3 linked regions of the Pelodiscus sinensis genome follow. The protein of the gene in region 1 purifies or fractionates together with the protein of each later gene. This does not show direct contact. Links are inferred from orthologs where the notes say so. Each region holds a gene or a part of one and is shown in the gene's direction. Other genes may lie near its edges.

Evidence for each region.
Region 2: the proteins of NOP56 (region 1) and FBL purify together in Homo sapiens (affinity purification with mass spectrometry; 6 studies listed by BioGRID and IntAct, counting the BioPlex papers as one, with this or other methods). This does not show direct contact. The link is inferred for Pelodiscus sinensis from reciprocal best matches to the Homo sapiens genes NOP56 and FBL.
Region 3: the proteins of NOP56 (region 1) and BRIX1 purify together in Homo sapiens (affinity purification with mass spectrometry; 3 studies listed by BioGRID and IntAct, with this or other methods). This does not show direct contact. The link is inferred for Pelodiscus sinensis from reciprocal best matches to the Homo sapiens genes NOP56 and BRIX1.

What each region holds. Positions count from the first base shown.
Region 1 is NW_027465891.1:299,459-307,201, reverse strand, and holds the start of NOP56 (nucleolar protein 56), read left to right. Parts: upstream 1-4,739; 5' UTR 4,740-4,839; coding exon 4,840-4,842; intron 4,843-5,368; coding exon 5,369-5,458; intron 5,459-6,680; coding exon 6,681-6,795; intron 6,796-6,928; coding exon 6,929-7,090; intron 7,091-7,297; coding exon 7,298-7,496; intron 7,497-7,548; exon of another isoform or gene 7,549-7,684; intron 7,685-7,743. UniProt on the Homo sapiens protein: Involved in the early to middle stages of 60S ribosomal subunit biogenesis. Required for the biogenesis of box C/D snoRNAs such U3, U8 and U14 snoRNAs. Part of the small subunit (SSU) processome, first precursor of the small eukaryotic ribosomal subunit.
Region 2 is NC_134734.1:4,829,724-4,836,938, reverse strand, and holds the start of FBL (rRNA 2'-O-methyltransferase fibrillarin), read left to right. Parts: upstream 1-4,210; 5' UTR 4,211-4,276; coding exon 4,277-4,286; intron 4,287-5,428; coding exon 5,429-5,503; intron 5,504-5,928; coding exon 5,929-6,105; intron 6,106-6,443; coding exon 6,444-6,538; intron 6,539-6,768; coding exon 6,769-6,939; intron 6,940-7,132; coding exon 7,133-7,215.
Region 3 is NC_134716.1:107,060,444-107,067,906, reverse strand, and holds the start of BRIX1 (ribosome biogenesis protein BRX1 homolog), read left to right. Parts: upstream 1-4,458; 5' UTR 4,459-4,486; coding exon 4,487-4,642; intron 4,643-6,597; coding exon 6,598-6,709; intron 6,710-7,463. Other genes in the region: cell cycle checkpoint protein RAD1, read right to left, coding at 3,608-3,802. UniProt on the Homo sapiens protein: Required for biogenesis of the 60S ribosomal subunit.

The sequences.
Region 1 (7,743 bases):
GGGTTGCAGGAAGGGCTGGGAGCGGGGCAGACGGCCCAGGAGTGAGGCAAGGGCTGAGTCCGCCCTGCAGGCGAGGTGAGGGCAGGCCCTGTCTGAGGTGCGGGCGGGCTGCCCGGGGGGAGCGCAGGGCTTAGGCTGACCCGTCTGAATCCTCCGGCATCTTCCGCCCCGCGCGGCGTCACGGACACTCGCGGCATGGCCAGGCCCCGCTCCAGCGATGCCTGTGACCCAGGGGCCCTCTCAGCGACGTCTGGGGGCTCCACGCACCTGGCCCAGGTCTCTTGCACCTCGCTCTCAGCCCAGAGAGGGAGCGCGAAGCCAGCCCCCCACAGCGCACACAGGCCTGTTTGAAGGGAAAGGGGCGTTATCGGCACTAGTCAGGTCAACCCGCTCTGTACAAAGCTAACACGGTTCTCCAGGAGGCAAGTGTCATGATTATGCGGGTCAGCCAGCAGCCTGGGGATTAAGGGGTTAACTACACCTAGCCCGGTGGAGTGGCCGATAGGAATGTACGTAGGACTTTCAAACTGGGACAAAGGAATTTGGGTTTTTTCCTCCTTTGTCTCTCTGGGCCAGTCCTCTGCAGCTACATGTCTCTCGCTCTCCAAGAAACAATTCTTCACTTTCTGTAATCAGGGTGAGGGTTAGGTAGTTTCATTAGGCTTTATTGTTTTAAGGGTTGGGTCTGGGATCTGAGATCTGGCCCTGCTTAAGAGATGTTTGGCTTTTCTTTGTAACTAAGTTCTAGCCCACGGTGTAATTCCTCCATGGCTGCGTCTACACTGGCAGGATTTTCCGAAAATGCTTTTAACGGAAAAGTTTTCTATTAAAAGCATTTTCGGAAAAGCGCGTCTCGAGTGGCAGGATGCTTTTCCGCAAAAGCACTTTTTGCGGAAAAGCGTCCATGCCAATCTAGACGTGGTTTTGTGCAAGAGAGCCCCGGTCGCCATTTTCGCGGTTGGGGCTTTTTTGCGGAAAACAGTCCTGTGCTGTCTACACTGGCCCTCTTGCACAAATGATTTCGCAAGAGGGCTTTTGCCCGAACGGGAGCAGCGTAGGATTTCCGCAAGAAGCACTGATTTCTTACATGAGATCGTCTGTGTTCTTGCGGAAATTCAAGCGGCCTGTGTAGACAGCTGGCAAGTTTTTCCACAAAATCATCCAATTTTGCGGAAAAACTTGCCAGTCTAGACACAGCCCAGGAGTATATTTTGTGACCTTTCCAGCTGATCCTTATGCTCGCAACAGGAATATTGTTATAATAATAAAAGTTTTCTCTTTTCTTTTAATTAACCTGGCAGTGGTTACTGGTGTGTCCTGATTTTTATAATAGGGGTGAGATTTCCCAAATAATCTTTCCCCTAATCTTATTAATATTTGGATGGTGGCAGCGGAAGTTTTATTCCCAAAATCTAGGTTTTTAAGATTTTGGGGGAAGTTTTATGCCAAAGCCTGGTAGATAAGGCTTTGGGGTACACCTGCGGGCCCCCACTTCTGCATTGATCATGCCAGAGTGGGGAAGGCAGCAAGCTCGGTGCGTCCTTTAGGCCTTACTGAGGCTATGCATAGGGGGCTCCTGCTGACGCCTCGAAACCTCGCCCTCCCCCACGTCCAAGTACCACTGACATCCCGTTCCCAGTTTGTATTCCCTTCCCCCCACGTGCGCTGAGCTGTGAACAACCATCGGGGAAGCCGCCTGCAGAACTTGTGCTCATGGAGGGAGGGCAGAAGAGCCAATGGCAGGATGGGCCGTCTGGCGTGGATGCCACCCTGCCCCTGGGGCCCAGCACTTCACAGGAGTGACTGTCGCTCCCAGCAGCAATGCACCTGCAGGCCAGCAGCTCCGCCAGGACCCTTTGCCTACAGCCATGGACAGGTCGCTTGTTCGCGTCATCAGCTCCATTTTGGTCCTTTGGGACGGGGAGAAGCTGTTTGGAAGTGGGGGATGGGTTAGAACCTCTCCCCTGTGTAAGGGGGGCTGGGGGGCACAGGGAGCACTGGGGTGTCTGAGGGGAGGTGGGGGATGGGTTAGAACCTCTCCCCTGTGTGAGGGGGGCTGGGGGGGCACAGGGAGCACTGGGGTGTGTGAGGGGAGGTGGGGGATGGGTTAGAACCTCTCCCCTGTGTGAGGGGGGCTGGGGGGCACAGGGAGCACTGGGGTGTCTGAGGGGAGGTGGGGGATGGGTTATAACCTCTCCCCTGTGAAAGGGGGGCTGGGGGGGCACAGGGAACACTGGGGTGTCTGAGGGGAGGTGGGGGATGGGTTATAACCTCTCCCCTGTGAAAGGGGGGCTGGGGGGGCACAGGGAACACTGGGGTATCTGAGGGGAGGTGGTGGATGGGTTATAACCTCTCCCCTGTGAAAGGGGGGCTGGGGGGGCACAGGGAGCGCTGGGGTGTCTGAGGGGAGATGGGGGGATGGGTTATAACTTCTCCCCTGTGTGAGGGGGGCTGGGGGGCACAGGGAGCACTGGGGTGTCTGAGAGGAGATGGGGGATGGGTTATAACCTCTCCCCTGTGTGAGGGGGGCTGGGGGGCACAGGGAGCGCTGGGGTGTCTGAGGGGAGATGGGGGGATGGGTTATAACCTCTGACAGGTAGTGGGGGTGCAACTTTTATAATCCCGTGTTGGCTCTGCTGTGCTGTGTTCGCTGTAATTCCCGATGACTCACCGAGATGTGTGCTGGGGCCAGACACAGGAGATCATAGCCCTTGGCCTGGAAGGGAGACAGGACAGGCGGGGCTGCACCAGACTGGGGGGTAGGGCCTGTGGGAAGGGTCAGTCTCCACTGGGCTAGGATGAAAGAGGAGGCGGAGAGCAGAAAAGGGGGTGAGGGACCCCGGGAGCCCTCCTCACCATGAGAGGAATAAGGCTGCCTGCCCTGGCTCCTGGGTTACCATCGATTCTGTGCTACACTGTCCCTGGGAACCGATTAACCTTCAGTTCTACCTGCCGCCTGCGGGTCACATCTGGCTGCAGATGGGGATGCAGGGGCGGGGACCCCCGACGCGTCATCACAGTGGTGTCGGGTGGGATGGACTGCACCCCGTGGATGGAGCATCCGGCGGTTAAGTGACTGGGGCGCAGGAGAAGGAAGGGGGCTTGCAAGAGCCAGGCGTGCGGGAGGCAGAGAGAAGCGATTCCAGAAAGCCAAGGGGCAGGCAGCTTAACCCGAGCGTGACTGCAGAGAAGGAGCGTTCCTCAGGACAGGGAGTGGCCCTCAAGGAGCCGGGTGCACTGCGGGGTTCTTCCTGGGAGGCATGGGGTACTGCCACCTTGGCCAGTGTCTGCCCCGGGGAACGGCGGGGAGATGGCCTACACCTGGCTGTGCAAGGGGAGGGGCCTGCCCTTGGGGAAACTGACCAAGGGGAAGGCCCAACTAAGTGCCCAGCTGGAAGAGAATGAACTGTCTGGGGGCCTGGATCCTGCCCCAGCTGGGAGCAGCCAGACACCCCCGGGAGTGCTACAGGGGGCTGGAGTCTGGCTGACGGACACGGTGCCCTTCAGGCCACACTGCCACCAGCGGTTCGTCCCAGCTGGGCTCTCCCTCCGCGGAGCTGCACGGCTGGAGACCAAGCTGCAGCTCAAGGAATTGGAGGGTTGTATGGAACAACGGCAGCAGGAGCTGGCCATGGCAGAGCAGAGAAGCAGAGGGGCCCAGGGCTGCAGGTCCCTTTGAGAGGTTCGTGCTGTCCCAGTGTAAGGATGTATGGGACTTGAACGGGTTTCTTGACTCTTTTGAGCGAGTCTGCGAGCTGCACCAGGGCCCCCTAGCCAACTGGCTCCAGCAGCTCACCCCTTTGCTGGATCAGAAGGCCGCAGGGGTGGAAGGGCTGCAGCCCGGGGACTACGAACGGGTCAAACAGGCCCTGCTGCACAGGTTCGGGCTGACTCCCGAGACGTACAGGAAGAAGTTCCAAGGGGTGCAGAAGCACCCTGGAGAGACCTACGCAAACCTGGACTCCTGCCTGACGCACGCACCCCAACCCCAAAGCGCTGCAGTGTGCAGGGAAACTGAGGCACACCCCCCCCTCGGAGCACTGCAGTGCACAGGGAAACTGAGGCACGCACCCCCCCTCGGAGCACTGCAATGCGCAGGGAAACTGAGGCACGCACCCCCCCCTCGGAGCACTGCAGTGTGCAGGGAAACTGAGGCACGCACCCCCACCCCAAAGCGCTGCAGTGTGCAGGGAAACTGAGGCACGCACCCCCCCCCTCGGAGCACTGCAGTGTGCAGGGAAACTGAGGCCCACAGGGAGGCACAGGACAGAACCGCCGCAGCCCGACCAAGCGAGCAAGTGGGGCGAGGGAAGAGGGGGTACCCGGGGGGGGAGGGGGGGTCTGCTCTTCAGCCGAGGCCAGGCCGGACCAGGGCCCCCCCCCCCCCACGCTCCTGGCCAATGGCCGAGCAAGCCCCGCCCCCCGTCACCTCCTAGTGCGCTGCGGCGCAGCAGGAGAACGCCCCCCCGCGCATGCGTACAGAGCAGCGGAAGCCGCCCACTGCGCCGCGGAGACTGGCGGAATCCACCGCTCTCGCCATCCCATTGGCTGGTGTGGGGAAGAGGCGGGCCTAAGGACGCTCCCGCTGCCCCATTGGCTGGTGTGGGGAAGAGGCGGGCCTAAGGACGCTCCCGCTTTCCCATTGGCTGGTGTGGGGAAGAGGCGGGCCTAAGGACGCTCCCGCTGTCCCATTGGCTGGTGTGGGGAAGAGGCGGGCCTAAGGACGCTCCCGCTGCCCCATTGGCGAGTGAGGGAAAGGGGCGGTCACTGATTGGTGGAACGGCCGGTTTCCGGTTCCTGCAGGCCTCTAGCGGCCCCGTTGCGTGGGGTGGCGGCACGATGGTGAGCGGCCTGCGGGGCCCATCCGGGCCCATCCCCCCCGCGGCAGCCGGTTCGAGCCCGAGCGTGGCGGGGCTGCGTGCTGGGGGGCCTGCGGGACCCGGGGAGGCGGGGAGCCGGGCCGATGGGGGGAGGCCCGGGGAGCGTGCGGGATTGGGGGGCGGCGGGGAAGATGGGCGGGGGGCAGGTTCGGGGGGGGGGGGGCGGGAGCGGGGAGGGGACCGGGGGGAGCGGTTGGGGGGGCGGGAGCAGGGAGGGGACGGGGGGGGGCCGGTTGGGCCGGGGGCGGTGGGGGGGGAGGGGACCGGGGGGGGCGGGAGCAGGGGGGGGCGGGGGGGCCGGGGGCGGTGCGGGAGCAGGGAGGGGACCGGGGGGGGGCGGGAGCAGGGGGGGGCCGGGGGCGGTGCGGGAGCAGGGAGGGGACCGGGGGGGGCGGGAGCAGGGGGGGGGGCGGGAGCAGGGAGGGGAGCGGGGGGGGGCCGGGGGCGGTGGGGGGGTGTCCTACGCGCGCTCACGGCCCCGCTTGCAGGTGCTGCTGCACGTGCTGTTCGAGCACGCGGCCGGCTACGCGCTGTTCGTCGTGCGGGAGGTGGAGGAGATCAGCCTGCTGCTGCCCCAGGTGCGCCCTGCCGGGGGGGGGGGGGGGGTCCTGGTTTATTCTCGCCCCCGAGGGCTGTTCCCCACCGCGCTGACCTTGGGCCCGGAGCGGCTGCCTCCCTCCCTTACTCCCAATCGGGCGGTGGCTGCCCACGTGCTGGGGTGGCTCCGCAGGAGGCTCCCTGATCTGACCCTGCAGGGTTGGGGGTTCCTGCCTAGATGGATCCTTGCACCAGCGCAGCCCTACCTGTCCAGTTGTACCCGCCAGTACCCAGGACCAGCTGTGTATAGCGTGGGGCTTGCTAGGCATGGGACTGCTGCTTGGCGGTAGGCCCCTGACTGGGCTACATGTGTACGAGGGATGTGACTAGTTAACCGGTTCACTGGTACCCAAAGGGGTGTGAGCAGGCAGCAACAGCCCCAGCGTTGTGGGAGTAGGGAGCAGCAGCAGCCCCTGTGTGGCCAGGGGACCAAGCTGGAGCGGTCTCCTGGGATCTTGTGCTTGATTGGTTAAACATAGTGCTTACGGGATTAACTGATTAAGGGGGATTTTACATCCCCAGTGCGGCCGGGGGATGTGAGAGCATACCCTAACCAGCGAGCCTGGGCTGATCAGTTAATCTTCACGCCTTAAGGGCACCCCCCTTCCCCCACATGGCCACTTCTGCTACAGAGGCAGCAGCACAGAGGGGCACACGCTAGGAAGCTGCCTGCCCCGCCCCTGCTTCCTTGGGCAGTGAAGATGGCTCCGCTGGAGCCCCTGCTTGTGTGCAGCTGGATTAAGTCGGCTCCCTGCAGGCGCTGAGCCCCTCCCCCTGGTGTGTAAACGTGTAGCCGTGTTTCCGGGTTTCTTCAGAACCCCACATCTTAACGGCCCTAGTGTGAACCCAGCCAGCAGGCCTGGCTCTCTGTGGCCAGGCAGGCGGGTCGTGCTCTTGGCTCCCACCTTGTGCAGTGATGAACAGCCCAAATCTGTCAATCCACTGAAAGCGGTGATGCTGCGCTGTGTCTGAGCACAGGTGCGCAAGTGGGGGGCACTTGCAGCTGCGCTGAAGGGGGCGCTGCTGTCCGTGTTCCCGCCGGTGGAGACGGCATCCCTGCCATGCGTGTTGGGGGCTGCGGCCGTGCAGCCGGGGCTTTAGCTGCATTGTGCTCCATCAGAACCTGTGCGCGCCTGGGCCCCTGCGGGTGTGGTACCCCAGCCTGCCCTGTGTTACTCACCCGCTGCCCTGTGCCCGCCCCAGGTGGAGGAGAGCATCCTGAACATTGGCAAGTTCCACAGCATTGTCAGACTGGTGGCCTTCTCCCCGTTCCGATCCGCCCAGAGTGCCTTGGAGAACATCAACGCGGTCTCAGAAGGTGAGGCTGAGCTGGTGGCTTGCTCCCCGTCAGCCTGCGACGGGTGGCTGGGCCAGGAGCGGAGCTTGCTGCCCTCTTGCTCCCATCCATGCCCTGTGGCTCGCCATCCAATAACTCCTTCTCCCTGGGGCAGGGATCCTCCATGAGGACCTCAAGCTGCTCCTGGAGACCAACCTGCCGGCCAAGAAGAAGAAAGTGTTGCTGGGAGTCAGCGATGCCAAAATCGGGGCTGCCATCCAAGAGGAGCTGGGTTACCAGTGCCAGGCTGGCGGGGTCGTAGCAGAGATCACACGAGGTGAGGGCGTGCGCGAACGAGGCCCAGACGGCTATGTTCTGGCATGGGGATCCTAGCAGGCCCCCTAGGGATCATGTCTGGTCCAGTCCCCTGGTGCCCTGCCTGTGTGGGAGCTCAGGTGCTCACTCGGGGCTGCCCTCCTTGGCTTGTCACAGGGTGGGCGGTGTGGCTGCGAGGGGTTCCGTACTCACCAGACACTCTGTGCAGGGATCCGCCTGCACTTTCACACTCTGGTGAAGGGCCTCACTGCCCAGTCGGCCTCCAAGGCACAGCTGGGCCTGGGGCACAGCTACTCACGAGCCAAAGTGAAATTCAACGTCAACCGGGTGGACAACATGATCATCCAGTCCATCAGCCTGCTGGACCAGCTGGACAAGGACATCAACACCTTCTCCATGCGCGTCAGGTGAGGGCTGCTGCAGGGGTGCTTGCCCGGGGCTTAGCTGGAACGTGCACTGTCCCTCCCCATGCTTACCGCAGGCAGCGCGACTTCCAGCGCTGACTGCACAGAAAGGGGAGGAAGAGCATCTGCCCTGCGTACACCCCAGCCAGGGAGCCTGTGACCTGGGCTGTCTTGTTAGCAGGGAGACACGGCCGTGGGGCGGGAGGAGCTGGCGGGTCCATGCTTCCCTCCTTGACTGCTCCCCTCTGGC
Region 2 (7,215 bases), on another chromosome or scaffold:
AATTTCAGAATTTTTTTTAGCAGGGCTACTCAACATGTGGCCTGTGACCTGTTTATTTGTGGCCCCTGGTGCAGTTTGGGTTTACATGGGGCTCAACATCCGGCCTGTGGGTGGGATCCTTGGAACATGGCCTCCACTGGGAACACGCTTCACAACATGATACAGTTCTGTGGTGATCTGGAAGCCTACTTTCGCTGTCTCCATCTCAAGGAATACTTCCAACACAACACTGAACAGTGCACTGACACACAGATACCTTCCCACCAACAGCACAAGAAGAAGAACTCCATATGGACACCTCCTGTGGGTCGAAATGACAGTCTGGACCACTACATATGTAAGGGGACTGTTAGCCCCTTATACTCTGTGGGAGTTTTTTAGTTTGCCAGCTCCCAGTGTCAACAGGGGAAGGGTCCATGAGACTGACAGACCCCAGAGACAATGGAAAGCAGCCAACACTCCAGCTTAGCCTGATTGACAAGTTGGACAGGCCAGTGAGAAAAGCAAGAGGCCAGGCCCCGTCCTCCCTGTGAGCTGGGATTGTTCTGGCTCTCTCTGAGCAAACAGAGAGCTGAGAGACTGCCCAAGGGGGGCAAGCTGTGTGCAGAAGAAGTCCTGCAAAAACAGGGAGCTGAGAGACAGCCCAAGCAAAGCAAGCTGTGTGCTGAGGGGCAGTTTTTGCAGCAGCTGAGCCAGACACACACAGCTCAAGGAGCGCAGACCCTGTGTTGAGCAGCAGACTGGCAGTGCTCAGAGAGCCAAAAGGAACAGAGAAGCAACGCAAGAAGCTAGAGACTGGCCACGCAGCACAGCCTGCAGCTGGATGTGGTGAGCAGCTGGGAACTGCAAAGTATGGGGAGAGGCTCTGGACTGGGAGAGGGGTCTGGCCACTTAGAGCTTGAGGCTGTGTGGTCACTGCCAGAGCAAGCGTGTCCAGCCTGCAGCCCCCTGCAGCACATCCAAGGCCTCTAAGGGGCCTCTAAGGAAGAGACTGTGGACTGACCTTACACTCTGCAGGCTGCTGTTTTGATGTCCCTGTGCTACAGAGCAGGGCTGTGTGTTCTCATTTAACCATTCTCATTTTTTCTTATTATTTTCTCTTTAATCAGTTGATGTTTAATAAATTGTATTTGCTTTGAACCTTATGAAGTGATCGCTGGGCCAAGAAGGCCTGCAGTGTAAAGAGAGCACCTCGGAGTGGGGACACCCTAACTCCTGCCCCTAGTGACTACAAGGTCGGGGATTAAGCCCCAGGAAACCTGGGCCCAGCCTTGTTGGGGTTTCGAGGGCTCTGCTACTCAGGAGAGTGGAGGGGGAGCCCTCAGGATCAGGGAAGCCGTGGGGTAAAGGAAGTGGGAGTGGGGACTCAGATCCTTTCGCTGGTCCATTTCACCGGGGTGTATAGAAGCCAGGAAAGTTCCCCACAATAGCGGGACCATTCCCCCACTTACACATAGAATGCTTCTGCCAACGTGCACAGGCAGAAATTGTGGAAAACCAGCATCGCTTGCCCCGTAACCTCAGTCGTGCAGAACGCAATGCCATCAACAGCCCCCAGAACAACTCTGACATTATAATCAAAGAGGCTGATAAAGGAGGTGCTGTTGTCATCATGAACAGGCCTGACTTACAAAAGGAGGCTGCCAGACAACTCTCCAATACCAAATTCTACAGACCACTTTCCTCAGATCCCACTAAGGAATACACTAAGAAACTGCACCATCTGCTCAGGACACTCCCTAAACAAACACAGGAACAAATCGACACACCCTTAGAGCCCCGACCAGGGTTGTTCTATCTATTACCCAAGATCCACAAACCTGGAAATCCTGGACCCCCCTCATCTCGGGCATTGGCACTCTCACTGAAGGACTGTCTGGATATGTGGACTATCTACTCAGATCCTATGCCACCAGCACTCCCAGCTATCTCTGTAACACCACTGATTTCCTGAGAAATCTACAATGCATTGGTGATCTTCCAGAAAACACCATCCTAGCCACCATGGATGTAGAGGCTCTCTATACAAACATCTCACATATAGATGGAATACAAGCTGTCAGGAACAGTATCCCTGATGATGCCACAGCACAACTGGTGGCTGAGCTCTGCGACTTTATCCTCACACAGAACTATTTCAGATTTGGTGACAATATATACCTCCAGACCAGTGGCACTGCTATGGGCACCCGCATGGCCCCACAATATGCCAACATTTTTATGGCTGACCTGGAACAACGCTTCCTCAGCTCTCATCCACTTACGCCCCTTCTCTACCTACGCTACATCAATGACATCTTCATCATCTGGACCCCATCATTAGTGACCTACAACCCATCCTGGACAATGATCCCTCACTTTCACAGGCCATGGGAGGCAGGCCAGTCCTTGCCCACAGACAACCCGCCAACCTGAAGCATATTCTCACCAGCAACTATACACCGCACCATAATAACTCTAACTCAGGAACCAATCCATAAAACAAACCTCGGTGCCAACTCTGCCCACATATATATACCAGCAACACCATCACAGGACCTAACCAGATCAGCCATACTGTCACTGGTTCATTCTCCTACTCATCTACTAACATAATATATGCCATCATGTGCCAACAATGCCCCTCTGCTATATATATCAGCCAAACTGGACAATCCCTACGTAAAAGAATAAATGGACAAAAATCAGATATTAGGAATGGCAACATACAAAAACCTGTAGGGGAACACTTCAATCTCCCTGAACACACAATTGCAGAACTAAAGGTAGCCATCCTGCAGCAAAAAAACTTCAAGACCAGACTTCAAAGAGAAACTGCTGAGCTACAGTTCATCTTCAAGTTTGACACAATCAACTCTGAATTAAACAAAGACTGTGAATGGCTTGCTAACTACAAAAGCAGCTTCTCCTCTCTTGCTATTTACACCTCCAAATCAGCTACTGAAAGTGGGCCTCATCCTCCCTGATTGAATCCACCTCGTCATCTCTAGTCTGATTCTGGCCTGCATATTTATACCTGCCTCTGGAAATTTCCACTACATGCATCTGATGAAGTGGGTCTTTGCCCACGAAAGCTTATGCTCCAACACTTCGGTTAGTCTATAAGGTGCCACAGGACTCCTCACCACTTATGCTTCACAGCGGTGAGCATTTCTCAGACGGGGTGAGCATTGAAAGACGCAGGCAGACGGGCTGGCTGGAACAGACCGGTACAGGGTGTCGGCATTTCTAGCCCCCAGGGAAGAGGTGCCAGGAGTGCTGGGGCATTGTGGGAAGTGCTGGCTGCTTAGCCTTGTGGACAGAGCCTGACAGGTGCTGACTGGCTCACACTGGCCCATGGTGGCTTGAGGTTTTATCTTTGTATTCATGCAGGTCAGTGTGAAAGAAGCTATTTGCATATATTTGCATATAAATGTGCATGTATATGCAACCACACTTAAGTCACGGCCCTTGGCATGTGCTGTGAGTATCATTGTGGACCCTGGGGCTTCCTAAATTGAGTAGCCCTGGTTTTAGGATAAATTTTTGTTTACTTTTTAAAATGTTTTGCAATCAAATATTTGAAACCTGTGTTTTGCAGAAAATAAATCAACAGGACATGTCAGAATTTTTTCATGGAAAATATTTAATTTTTTTGAGAGTAAGGGAATTATTTCCAGCACAAAATTTCAACATTTTTGTTTTATAGGAAATAATTTTATTTTTATGCAAAATTTCAGAATGGTTATTTCACAAAATTTTACTTTCTGCCAGTCCCGCCCCCCTGCCTCTCTATTTCTGGCAGGCAGAGGTTTAGGGAAGCCCAAAGCATGGGCGTCACATCCCTGGCTCTCTTGGCTAATAGCCAAAGAAGTCATCCATGCCTTTTTTGGGTCACAGTGGCAAGGAGTTCCACAGGTTAACAGGCTAGTATGCTGCAGGGCTCCCCCATCCCAGCAGCTGCACCCAGCCCTCATCAGCCATGTGTTGATGTGGACTCACTTGGCCTCAACAGTCCTGGTGCGGGAGGGGACCTAACACCGGGGCCAGGGATGGGCCGGGGGAGTACTACACGCATGCGCAGCGCTCTCTTTTTGCAGCGGCTCCGTTGTTGTGCGCATGTGCTGGCAGCGGAGACTACATTTCCCGTGGTGCCTCCTTCTGGCGGAGATGGGGAAAGCGGGGTTATTGTGGGCATGCGCAGCGGCGGCTCTTGGCGGAGCAGAGTTGCGCGTGCGCAGTGGCCAGGGTGCTGGTGTCTGCGCAGTGAGGCGGCTCGCGGCGTTGGGCGAGTAGCATGAGGCCGGGTGAGCGCGGCTGGCCCACGTGTGCGGGGAGGGGCAGTCAGTGGGGGCCGTGTCCCGGGGGACGGGTCAGTTGGGGGGGCATGACCCCGGGGGGGGGGGACAAGGTCAGTGCGGGGCCGTGACCCCGGGGGGGGGTCCGGGGCTGGGGGTGCTTAGTGGGGAGCAGTCACGTGGCCCGGGCTGCGGGGGGTCGCGTGGCCCAGGGGGGTGTCCAGGTGCGGGAAGGGGGGGGGGTCTCTGTGCCCCTGCGGGGGGCTCGTGTCTGCACAGGAGCCTGGGGGGGTAGTGGGATGGGGGCGCGTGTTTGGGTTTTACTGTTAGATGGGGGCTGGTGGGTGGAGGTTTTGGGGCGCACCCGAGAAGGTGCAGACAGTGGGGATAGAGGGACGTGGAAAGGCAGGTGGGAGGCGGGCTAGCAGCGTGCTGGGGTGGGGACAAGGGAGGTGAAGGTTTAACCAGTTAAGGTTAACCAGGGGGGGCTGCGCAGGCCAGGCTGGAGCAGTCCCTGCCTCCCGGGCAGGGGATGGTGGGGGCTGCTCTAGCTCGGGATGTTAAGAAGCGGGTATTTAACCAGTTGAGTAGTCGATAAAAATTCTATCGACTACTCGATTAGTCAATAGGCAGCTGGCTCAGTCCCGGTTTGTACAGGGTTGGGACCAAATCCCGCTGTGTCTCTGCAGTTTAAAGGCGGTAGGAGCTTGGGGGCAGGTTGCCTAATTCCTACTGCATTTTCAATTGCAAAGACACAGTGAGGTGAACTGGGGCTGAGCTGGGCTGCCTGCCCAGCCGGCAGAAGCCCCTGCCCCTACCTCCGCGGAGACCGTGCTGGGGAGAATCGGCTTTTAAGCCAGCGGAATGTGAATAGTTAACTCCCTGGTTGACTAATAGACTGATCCCTTACTTCTCTAGGTCCAGCCCTGTGGCAGGCCCTCCCACTGCCCCCGTTTAATTGGTTTACCTATGTTTAACCAGTTAATCAATTCAAGGGGATGGGGTGACCAGGAAGGATATGGGGTGGGGCTGTATCCATGGTGGGAGAGCAATGGTGGGGAGTGGTGTTCGGGTTCAGGCCGCTCTCTCTCTCTATGGTGTGGGTGGAGGGTCATGGTGGGGTGTGGTCTCTAACTCTCTCCTGGTTGCAGGTTTCAGTCCCCGTGGAGGGCGCGGTGGGTTTGGGGACCGTGGAAGAGGCCGAGGGGGCTTCCGAGGAGGCCGAGGTAAGTGCTCTCTGTGCCCCAGTGGCATCGCTGTGTTGGGGAGGGGAGGGCTTTGTGGTTACGACTGAGCACCTGTGTGCTGCACCTCCCCCTCTCCCCTCGGTCCCAGGCAACACCCACTGTTGGAGACCTTCCTGTCCAGTGAATACTGGGAGAATTTTGCTCCCACCGCACCTCAGTTCAGTGGCCATTGACTTTGGGCTGTGTTGCTGTGTGGACAGCACATCCTGTCCCAGCTCCATCAGTGTGCCATGGTCCAACCCCTGCCTGGGTTATTTCCCCTCGTGATCTCAGGGACACTGGATCCCCGCCTTCATATCTTGTCCCAAAGTGAACAGCTGCTCTGCCCCTCTGCTTTCCATGCAGGGCGGGGACAATGGCACAGGGCCAATGTGCTTCTACTCCATCTCTTCTCTCCCTTGTAGGTGGTGGGTTTAAATCTCCGGGTGGGAGTGATGGAGGCTTCCGAGGAAGAGGAGGTGGCGGTGGTTTCCGTGGACGAGGCGGGCCAGGCCGAGGAGGCCGCGGTGGAGGAGGCCGGGGCGGCCGAGGAGGGTTTAAAGGAGGCAAGAAGGTGACGGTGGAGCCCCACAGGCATGAAGGTAACCAGCATGGGACAAAATAGTGCTGTCTCCTGGGAGCAGTGAGGTGTTGTGGCCAAGGTGGTCTGCCTGGACTGGACAGCGCTGGGATTCACTGCTAGATGTTGGATTGATCAGGGCACAGCTGGGGTGGATTGCTATCCAGTGTTGGAGGCACTGTGTATGGGAGGTTACATGGCTGATCCATGGCTTGGCAGCCCTGCTGTGATCCCTTTATGATTTGCAAGGGCAATTGACTCCTTCCCATAGCAGGGAATGTTCCCCCTGCTCTCCTTAGACTTGGGAAGAGGGTTGTCCCTGTTCTGACAGCTTCCCATCCGTTTCCTCCTTCCACCCAGGCGTCTTCATCTGCAGGGGGAAGGAGGATGCGCTGGTGACGAAGAATCTGGTGCCCGGCGAGTCTGTGTATGGAGAGAAGAGGATCTCTGTGGAGGTAGGCGGCCTTGTGGTAATGGGGGAAATTCTGGGCAGCACTGGCTGCCCCAGGACTCAGGGGTGGGATGGTGCCAGCCTGTTAAGGCAGCTCCCATGTTTCTAGAGGGACACTACCCCAGCAGGAAGGGTATTAGGGTTGGGGCGACTGCCACAGTGGAGCATGCTCGCAGCCAGTTAACAGCCCCGGGGGAGCTGAGCTGAGCTTTGACCCTGCTGCTCTCTCTGCAGGACGGTGAGCTGAAGATAGAGTACCGTGCCTGGAACCCTTTCCGCTCCAAGCTGGCAGCAGCCATCCTAGGTGGCATTGATCAAATCCACATCAAGCCGGGAGCCAAGGTCCTGTACCTGGGAGCTGCTTCTGGAACCACAGTCTCACATGTCTCCGACATCGTGGGGCCGGTAAGGAGCTGCTGTTGGGCCTGGGTCTGAAGAGGATGGGGGTGGGGGCAGGGACGAAGTGTCTAGTGAGTATGACTCAGCTGTGCTGAGAGAAGGCAGTGCCTGATTGCATTGTGGGGGGAGGGGAGAATGGGAAGAAAAGCTGCTCTGCCCTTGGGGGAGATGGCTGACCATGGTTTTTTACCCCACCCAGGAAGGCCTGGTCTATGCTGTGGAGTTCTCCCATCGCTCCGGCCGTGACCTCATCAATGTGGCGAAGAAACGCACCAACATCAT
Region 3 (7,463 bases), on another chromosome or scaffold:
TGTTCAGTGCACTACTATACAACTTAAAAAACACAACTTGTCATTTCCAGTATGCCTTGGATGATAAGTGCTTCCAAAAACAGAAGACAGCACAATTTTTGCCTTGAGGAGCTCTTAATCTAACAGTCAAGTAAACAAGCAGCAGCAGAAATAAGTGAACTCATTAAACAAAATATGACTTCTTAAAAATCAAAAAAATAAAACCAAGCAAGTAGGTAAAAATTTAAGACTACAGAAAGAGCTAATTTTCTTTTTGCTCCCTTCAATTCCCTTTGTGGTTCTTTTTTTAATTATCCCTACACCTTATTTGGAGGGATAGATTTAATTACACGAAACGTTATTAGAGATATCTGAAAAGGGTAAGTGTCAATAGTAATCATATTAAACACATGTTGAGAAAAAATAATTTAAAGTATTGTTTAGGGGTCAGGAGAGATGCAACGAGATGTATGTCAAGAGGAGTGAACTCAGTACAGTAGGGCTCACTACAGTAATTGCTTGATAACTTAAGACAACAGTGAACTCCTTAAAAGATGGATGATATCTGAATGCAGAAAATTTTGAGATCCTGAAATGGAAGATGATGCATAAATGCAAATAATGGGATGGTATTAGGGAAAGGGAAATAAGGCTGAATATTAGTAAAAAGTTTTCAAAAAGTGATATTTAGTCAACTGTAGAACTGTCTTCCATTAGGGAAGTGATTGGATCATTAATATGATCCATCTATATTCATAGCTTTGTCTGATGTGAAGAATATATCCATAATGAGCAATCCAGCACTGGCCTTTGAGGCTGCACATAATGACCTACACAGGGGTGGGCAATAATTTTTGATGGGGTCCACTCCAAGAATATAGAAAATGGTCAAGGGTAGGACTTTTCCATTATATTAATGGAGGAGGTGTGGGATCTGGGATGGAGGTTGTTCTTCACACAGTGCACAGTCAACCTGTGGAACTCCTTGCCAGAGGAGGCTGGGAAGGTTAGGACTATAACAGAGTTTTAAAAAAGAGCTAGCTAAATTCATGGAGGTTAGGTCCATAAAAGGATACTAGCTAGGGGGTAAGGAATGGTGACCCTGGCCTCTGTTTGTCAAAGGCTGGAGAAGGATGACAGGAGACTAACTGCTTGATCATTGTCTTCGGTCCACCCCTTCTGGGGTACCTGGTACTGGCCATTGTCGGAAGACAGGATACTGGGCTAGATGGACCTTTGGTCTGAACCAGTATGGCCATTCTTATGAGGCTGGATGCAGAAGAGAGCTTGAAGTGATTGGGGTGCATGAGGGGTTGCGAGCTTTGGGAGGGAGTTTATGTGAAGGTGGCAGTTGTGACCTGAGGTACAAGAGGGGGTGCAAGGGTTTGGATTGTGACCCATGGCAGGAGGGGGTTGCGACATGGGGCAGGGGACTGGGGTACAGGAGTTTGGGTTGTGACCTAGAGTGGTACAGGAGGGAGGGCAGAGGGTTTGTGTTAAGTAGCATATGGGTGCAGGGTCATTTGTATGTGTGTACAGCTAAGAGCTGGAGAGGAGAGGTACTTTGCATGCTGCTGTGCTTCAAACAGGCAGGTCCCATTGGCCAGAAACCGACCATTGGAATTGTGGTAGGGGCAGGGGCAGCACATGGAACCTCTTCCCCTCCCCAGACAAATGGCCCGACAAGTCACTTTTCTGAGCAACGTACGGAAGAGGGGCAGGCAGGGAGCCTGTGTGAGGCTCTTTGCTGTGTCCATGGGCTGCATCCAGTGGTTTGTTAAGCTGCATCCAGCCTGCAGGCCTTATTTTGCTCTTCCCTGACCTACAAGGTCTTTTTCCACCTCTAACTAACATCCAGCAGTATTGCATGGCACTCGCTGGGTCAGATTCTCCACCTTATTCCTACCATTTTGATACTTCCTCTCCAGCACCTAAAATAAACTGCATGCCATTCCTTATTCTCTCCAACAGTCCTTCTGTCAAATACTTTGTTTCCATTCCTAGATAATTGTAGAGACAGAAATGTAGCCGTGTTAGTCTGGTGTAGCTGGGACAAAAAACAGGACTATGTAGCATTTTAAAGACTAACAAGATGGTTTATTAGGTGATGAGCTTTCGTGGGCCAGAGCCACTTCCTCAGATCAAATAGTGGAAGAAAATTGTCACAACCATATATACCAAAGGATACAATTTTAAAAAATGCACACATGTGAAAAGGACAAATCAAATTTCAGATGTGTTCATTTTTTTAATTGTATGCTTTGGTATAGATGGTTGTGACAATATTCTTCCACTACAGTATTTGATCTAAGGAAGTGGGTCTGGCCCACCTAATAAACCATCTTGTTAGTCTTTAAAGTGCTACATAGTCCTGTTTTTTGTTCTAGATAATTCTAGTCTCTCTCATACTTTCCCTGGCTTATTTAATGCTCTCTCATCTCACAGTGGCTTCATACTATGTGCTAATACAAGACTCAATGCAAAAATAATGGTGATCCTCTCACATGCTATCTATCTATATTTTTTAAAGTGCATGTGCGTGTCAGTCCATTTGTTCACAAACTCCTCCTAAATGGTAAGAGCTAGGGCCACCAAATTTGGTGTGTAGTAAGGATGTTAAAAACTGTGTATTTGTGTAAGCATGTGACTGCTGAAATTTTTAGTGGTTATATGTTAACACATGGAGGGTGGGTAGGCAGGAGGGAGCTGGTGCTCACGGGGAGCCGGCTGTCTGCAAGCATCAGCTCCCGCCTACCCCCTCCTCCTGCTGCTGCCTTTCATGGTGGGCAAACAGCTCCATGGGCTAGAATTAACGGATAAACCTGGGCAAATTCAGGGTTTGGTTGTGCCAAGAAAATGAGATGTGCCTAGAATTTGATAGTTTTCCATTACATGGAAAGGGAGGGGAGCAGAGAGGAGAGATCCTCACACTCACTACTGGGGGGTAGTGAGCCCACAGGAGAGCTATCCTGCAGAGTGATCAATGAGGGCAGCCACACTAGCAAGAGTGACCAGCTGAGGATGGGACTCTACCACCTTAGCTGCCAATTGTAAGTGGCCTCCCTGTCTAAAACCCCTCCACCTGCCGTACCATCGGGGCTGGCCAACCCAACCCCAGCTGCCCCATAGGACCCCCAGCAGCCTGGGAGAGACCTTCATGCACCCATCACCCTGCCCCCACTTCCCAAACCCTGGTCTGGGCCTTCCCATGTCCCTGGCCCAGGCCCCCTGGCAAGCACTGAGCTGCCCCTCCCCTCCAACTCCAGCCCACACAGGGTCATCATTCCCCACCACACCCCCACCCACATCAGATGTAGGCAATCAATGCTGAGTAAGTCTGCTAGTAACAATAATAAAATAGCAAAACATTTCCATCTCTGATACATTAAGAATTTAACTCCAGCATTTCTGAATACTATCAACATCTACACTATTGCAAGTCTAGAACTGAGATATCTAATGCCTTGCATCCACTGGTCTCATCTTTTTGTTTTTTGTTTGACTGGATTATGTCCATTGGGAAAGCCACTACCAAGTGCAAGAAAAAGGGAAAAAAACTGTAATTTTAAACACGTGAAAGACTGATGACAGATATATTAATGGTCTGATGATGTGCTGGGCTCCTTACCTGAATAAAGGCATTTGCCTGCACACATTTTGCATTTTCCACTGTTACCTTGATTCCATTTCTAGTTGCAAAACACGTTGCATAGTCTTTAAAATGAATCGCTTTTAGGATATTCGAGAGGTTTCTGACATTGTCAAGACTGGCGACTAAAACATACTGATCATCGGCAGTTTCCAGCTGAGTAGAGAGGGGCATTATTCGTTTGCATTCACCACTCCAATCTTCCCTGTGACCGTATATGTGAGGCCTGCAGGGGCAGTGTCAAAGAGAACCTAAAACAGAGGTCACATACTTCTGTTACTCTAACCCGCTGGTGGTCAAGGACAGGCGGGAACGGCTGCCCGGCTGGCAGCTGCGATGACGCCCCGGCAGCAATGCGGTGGTGAAAGTGACCAGACGGTACAAGTGTAAACGTGTCGCTATTGCTGCTGCCCGCGAGAGGGGCTGGAGTTCAGTGCAATGAAAGCGGCGGAGGAACAGCGGCCCCAGGCCGCGCCGGTCGCTGGCTACCACGCGCCCCGTCCACTGGCGCTGCAGCCCGCCGAGCCAAGGCCCGTGTCCCGGGCGCTGCAGGGCAGAGCGCCCCACGCGGCTCCCAGCCGGCGGCGCCCCAGCTTGGGCGACACGGACGGTCCCGTTGCACGAGGCGCTCGCAGGCCAACGGGCCCGCGCTGGGGAGCCGGCGGCCCCGGGCCGAGCGGGGATGGGGAGAAGCCGCACCCGGATCCTACCTATTCCCTACGAGGCGGCGCTCGCCGCCGTGCCTTACGGCTGTCGTAACACGAAGGCCGCCCAGAGCCGGGCAGCGCGGCGGCGCTGACCATAGAGCGAGGGGCGGAAGAGCAGAGCAGCTTCCGGGTGACGGACGCGTCACGTGTAATGAAGATGGCGGCGGCCAAGAGGAAGCGTGGAGGGGCTGCGGCGCGGCCCAAGAAGCGAGCCAGGGGGGCTCCCGATGGCAGCGGGCCGTGGGCCAAGCGGGGCCCGCAGGGAGCGGAGAGGGAGGAGCACAGCATCCCGGCTCCTGTCTGCAAGGTAGAGAGAGCGGCTGGTCCCGCTTCTGCCCGAGGCCTGTGCACCCCTTTCCCCGAGAGTATTGGCACAGTCCGGCCTGTCTCCATGCGGCGCCTGGGCTGAGAGGCTGGGGAGCCATCGCTTGTGTTCTCGTTCTTGGGGGTGGGAACAAGGTCACCTTAGCTCGCCGGTCCCGCTGCGGGAAGGGTCTGGTCTGGCTTTGTCTGGCCTGTTGGGATGTAGCGGGGCGGAGGAGGCCGCTTAAGGGAAGCATCTGCCTCAGTCCTTTTTTTAGCGATATTGCCTTATTTAAAAAAACACTTGTCTTCCCTGTAAGTCATCCATAGTCTCAGAGGGCCGCCCCCTGCTTAGCGTGGAAGGGAGCAGAGTAAGGATGTTAAGTAGCATGTAATTGACTAATCAAATAGTTGATGCACTTTGGATGCGCTTTTGCACTATTCGATTAGTACTGCATGAAGCCTTTCAAAGGGGCTGCACTTCATGGAGCCCGGGGTTATCTGGGGAATCCCCAGCTGATCCTGGTCTTTGTGCTGCACTTCCCCTTTGAAAGGCTGCACAAGGCATTTCAAAGGGGCAGTGCTCCGTACGGCATTGCTGATTTGAATTACCCCATCTTCTCCCCCCCCCCCCCCCCCACACACACACCTTGCTGCCTCTCTGATAGAGGCAGCAAGGGAGGGAAACGACTAGTCAGCTATCCTGTTGACTATCTGATAAGCATTTAACTAGTTGACTAGTCCTTAACATCCCTAGAGCAGAGCACTGATCTCCACAGAGATAGGTGTTGTCTTGATCTGTGTAGTCACCCATACTCTTCATATGAGTACAGCCCTGTGTGGATATAAACATGTGGATCCACATCTGACCAACATTGACTAGAAACAATGTGTATCTGATCTGCATCGGTCAACAGCAGCAAACCATCTCTCAGCGCTTGCTCTGAAGAGGCGCATCTGGGTGTATGTGTGGCCTATGGCTTAATAAAATGGGCACACCAACCATATTATTGTAAACATCAATCTGAATTTTATAACCGTCGTCATTAGAACAAATATTTGGAGCGGCGTTGGAATGCTCCTGCTGAGGAGTGTGGCTGGGGCAAGAGTGCTTATCCTGTTCTGCCCTGTCAGGTGCTCCTTACAGGGAGTGGGACAAGCACCTGTACCCCAGCCAAGTTTCTTGTCAAGAGCGCCCCAACCCCACTCTCCAATAAGCTCTGAGGGCACCCTTCTCCCCATCAGTGCTGTTACTCCTCACTTTCACAAGGAGTATGGAAAGTCAATAAGTGTGTTTCACCCATGGACTTCCTGCTGTGGGAATGGCACCAAAGTTCAGCTTAATGTACGTCAACTCCAGCTATGTTGTTTATGTAGCTGGGATTGCGTACCTTAAACCAACTTTCTGTACTATAGACTTGACCTTAATTCTTCACTCATTCTTCACCTTAAAATTAGATAACATAAACACTTCTGTACTACCACTGTATGCAGTTTAACTTTCATGTACTTAATGTCATTTTGCTATATTTAGATATGTTTTCTATCAGTCTAGATTCCTGTCCCATCCCTAACCCTCATTGTTATTGTTTAAATGAGAAAACACAGATTTCATGGTATTTACCCTTTCTGTCTGCAAGCAGGTACATCCTGTTACATGAAGTTAATCACACCCTAAGAGGGGAAATTTTATGTGACCATCCTCAAATATTGACACTGAAAACGTTGAATTGATTAGGATTTTTTTGTGTAGGAATTAAGTAGTTAAGTGTGGAAGATCAAAATTGATCACGTTAACATTTATATATGCAGCCTGTTGGAAAGACAGCACTTTATTTTAATTGAAAACTTTTGCACAAATACAGTTTTAAAAAAATCACAAATATCTTGATTAAATATTAACTTTGATTTTAAAAAGTTGAAGATTAAAATTTTTTTTCACCTTTGTGTTTCTTTTAGGGTAAATGGAAAAACAAAGAGCGGGTGCTTATTTTCTCTTCTAGAGGAATAAATTTCAGAACAAGACATCTAATGCAAGACTTGAGAACATTGATGCCCCACTCTAAAGCAGGTAGGGTCGATAGGTACTGCTTTTATCTAACTCTGTCACTGTTTTTGGCTAGAGTGTTTTAGTAAACTACTGTCTGTTATTGACATTATTCCATTATGCTACACAGAATATCTGTTGGACTCTAAGATTTAGGTTGTCAAGTGATTAAAAAATTAATCATGATCAATCATGATGTTAATAATAGAATATCATTTAAATAGTTTGGATTTTTTTACATTTTTAAATATATTTATTTCTGTAATAACACAGAATACAACGTGTATAGTGCTCATTTTATATTTTTGATTAAAAATATTTTCAATTCACCTAATACGACTACTGCAGTACATTCTCTTTATCATGAAAGTTGAACTTACAAGTATAGAATTACATGCAAAAACCCCTGCATTCAAAAATAAAACAATAAAGTCTGCTCAATCCCAATTCTTTTCCAGCCACTTGCTAAGAGAAACAAGTTTGTTTACATTTATATGAGAGTTTGCTGCCTGCTTATTTACAATTTCACCTAAATGTAAGAATAAACTGTAACGTGGCATTGTTGTAGCTGGCATTGTTAGATACTAATGTGCCAGATACGCTAGAGATTCATGTCTCTTTATGCTTCGACTATCATTCCAGAAGACATGCATGCATGCTGATGATTCTGTTTGATAACTTTCCAAGAAGTGCAAAGTGATGCATCTTCATTTTCATCATCTCATTTAGATGCAGGAGGTTGATTTTCTATTTTGGTGACTTGTGTTCTGTAGTTTCT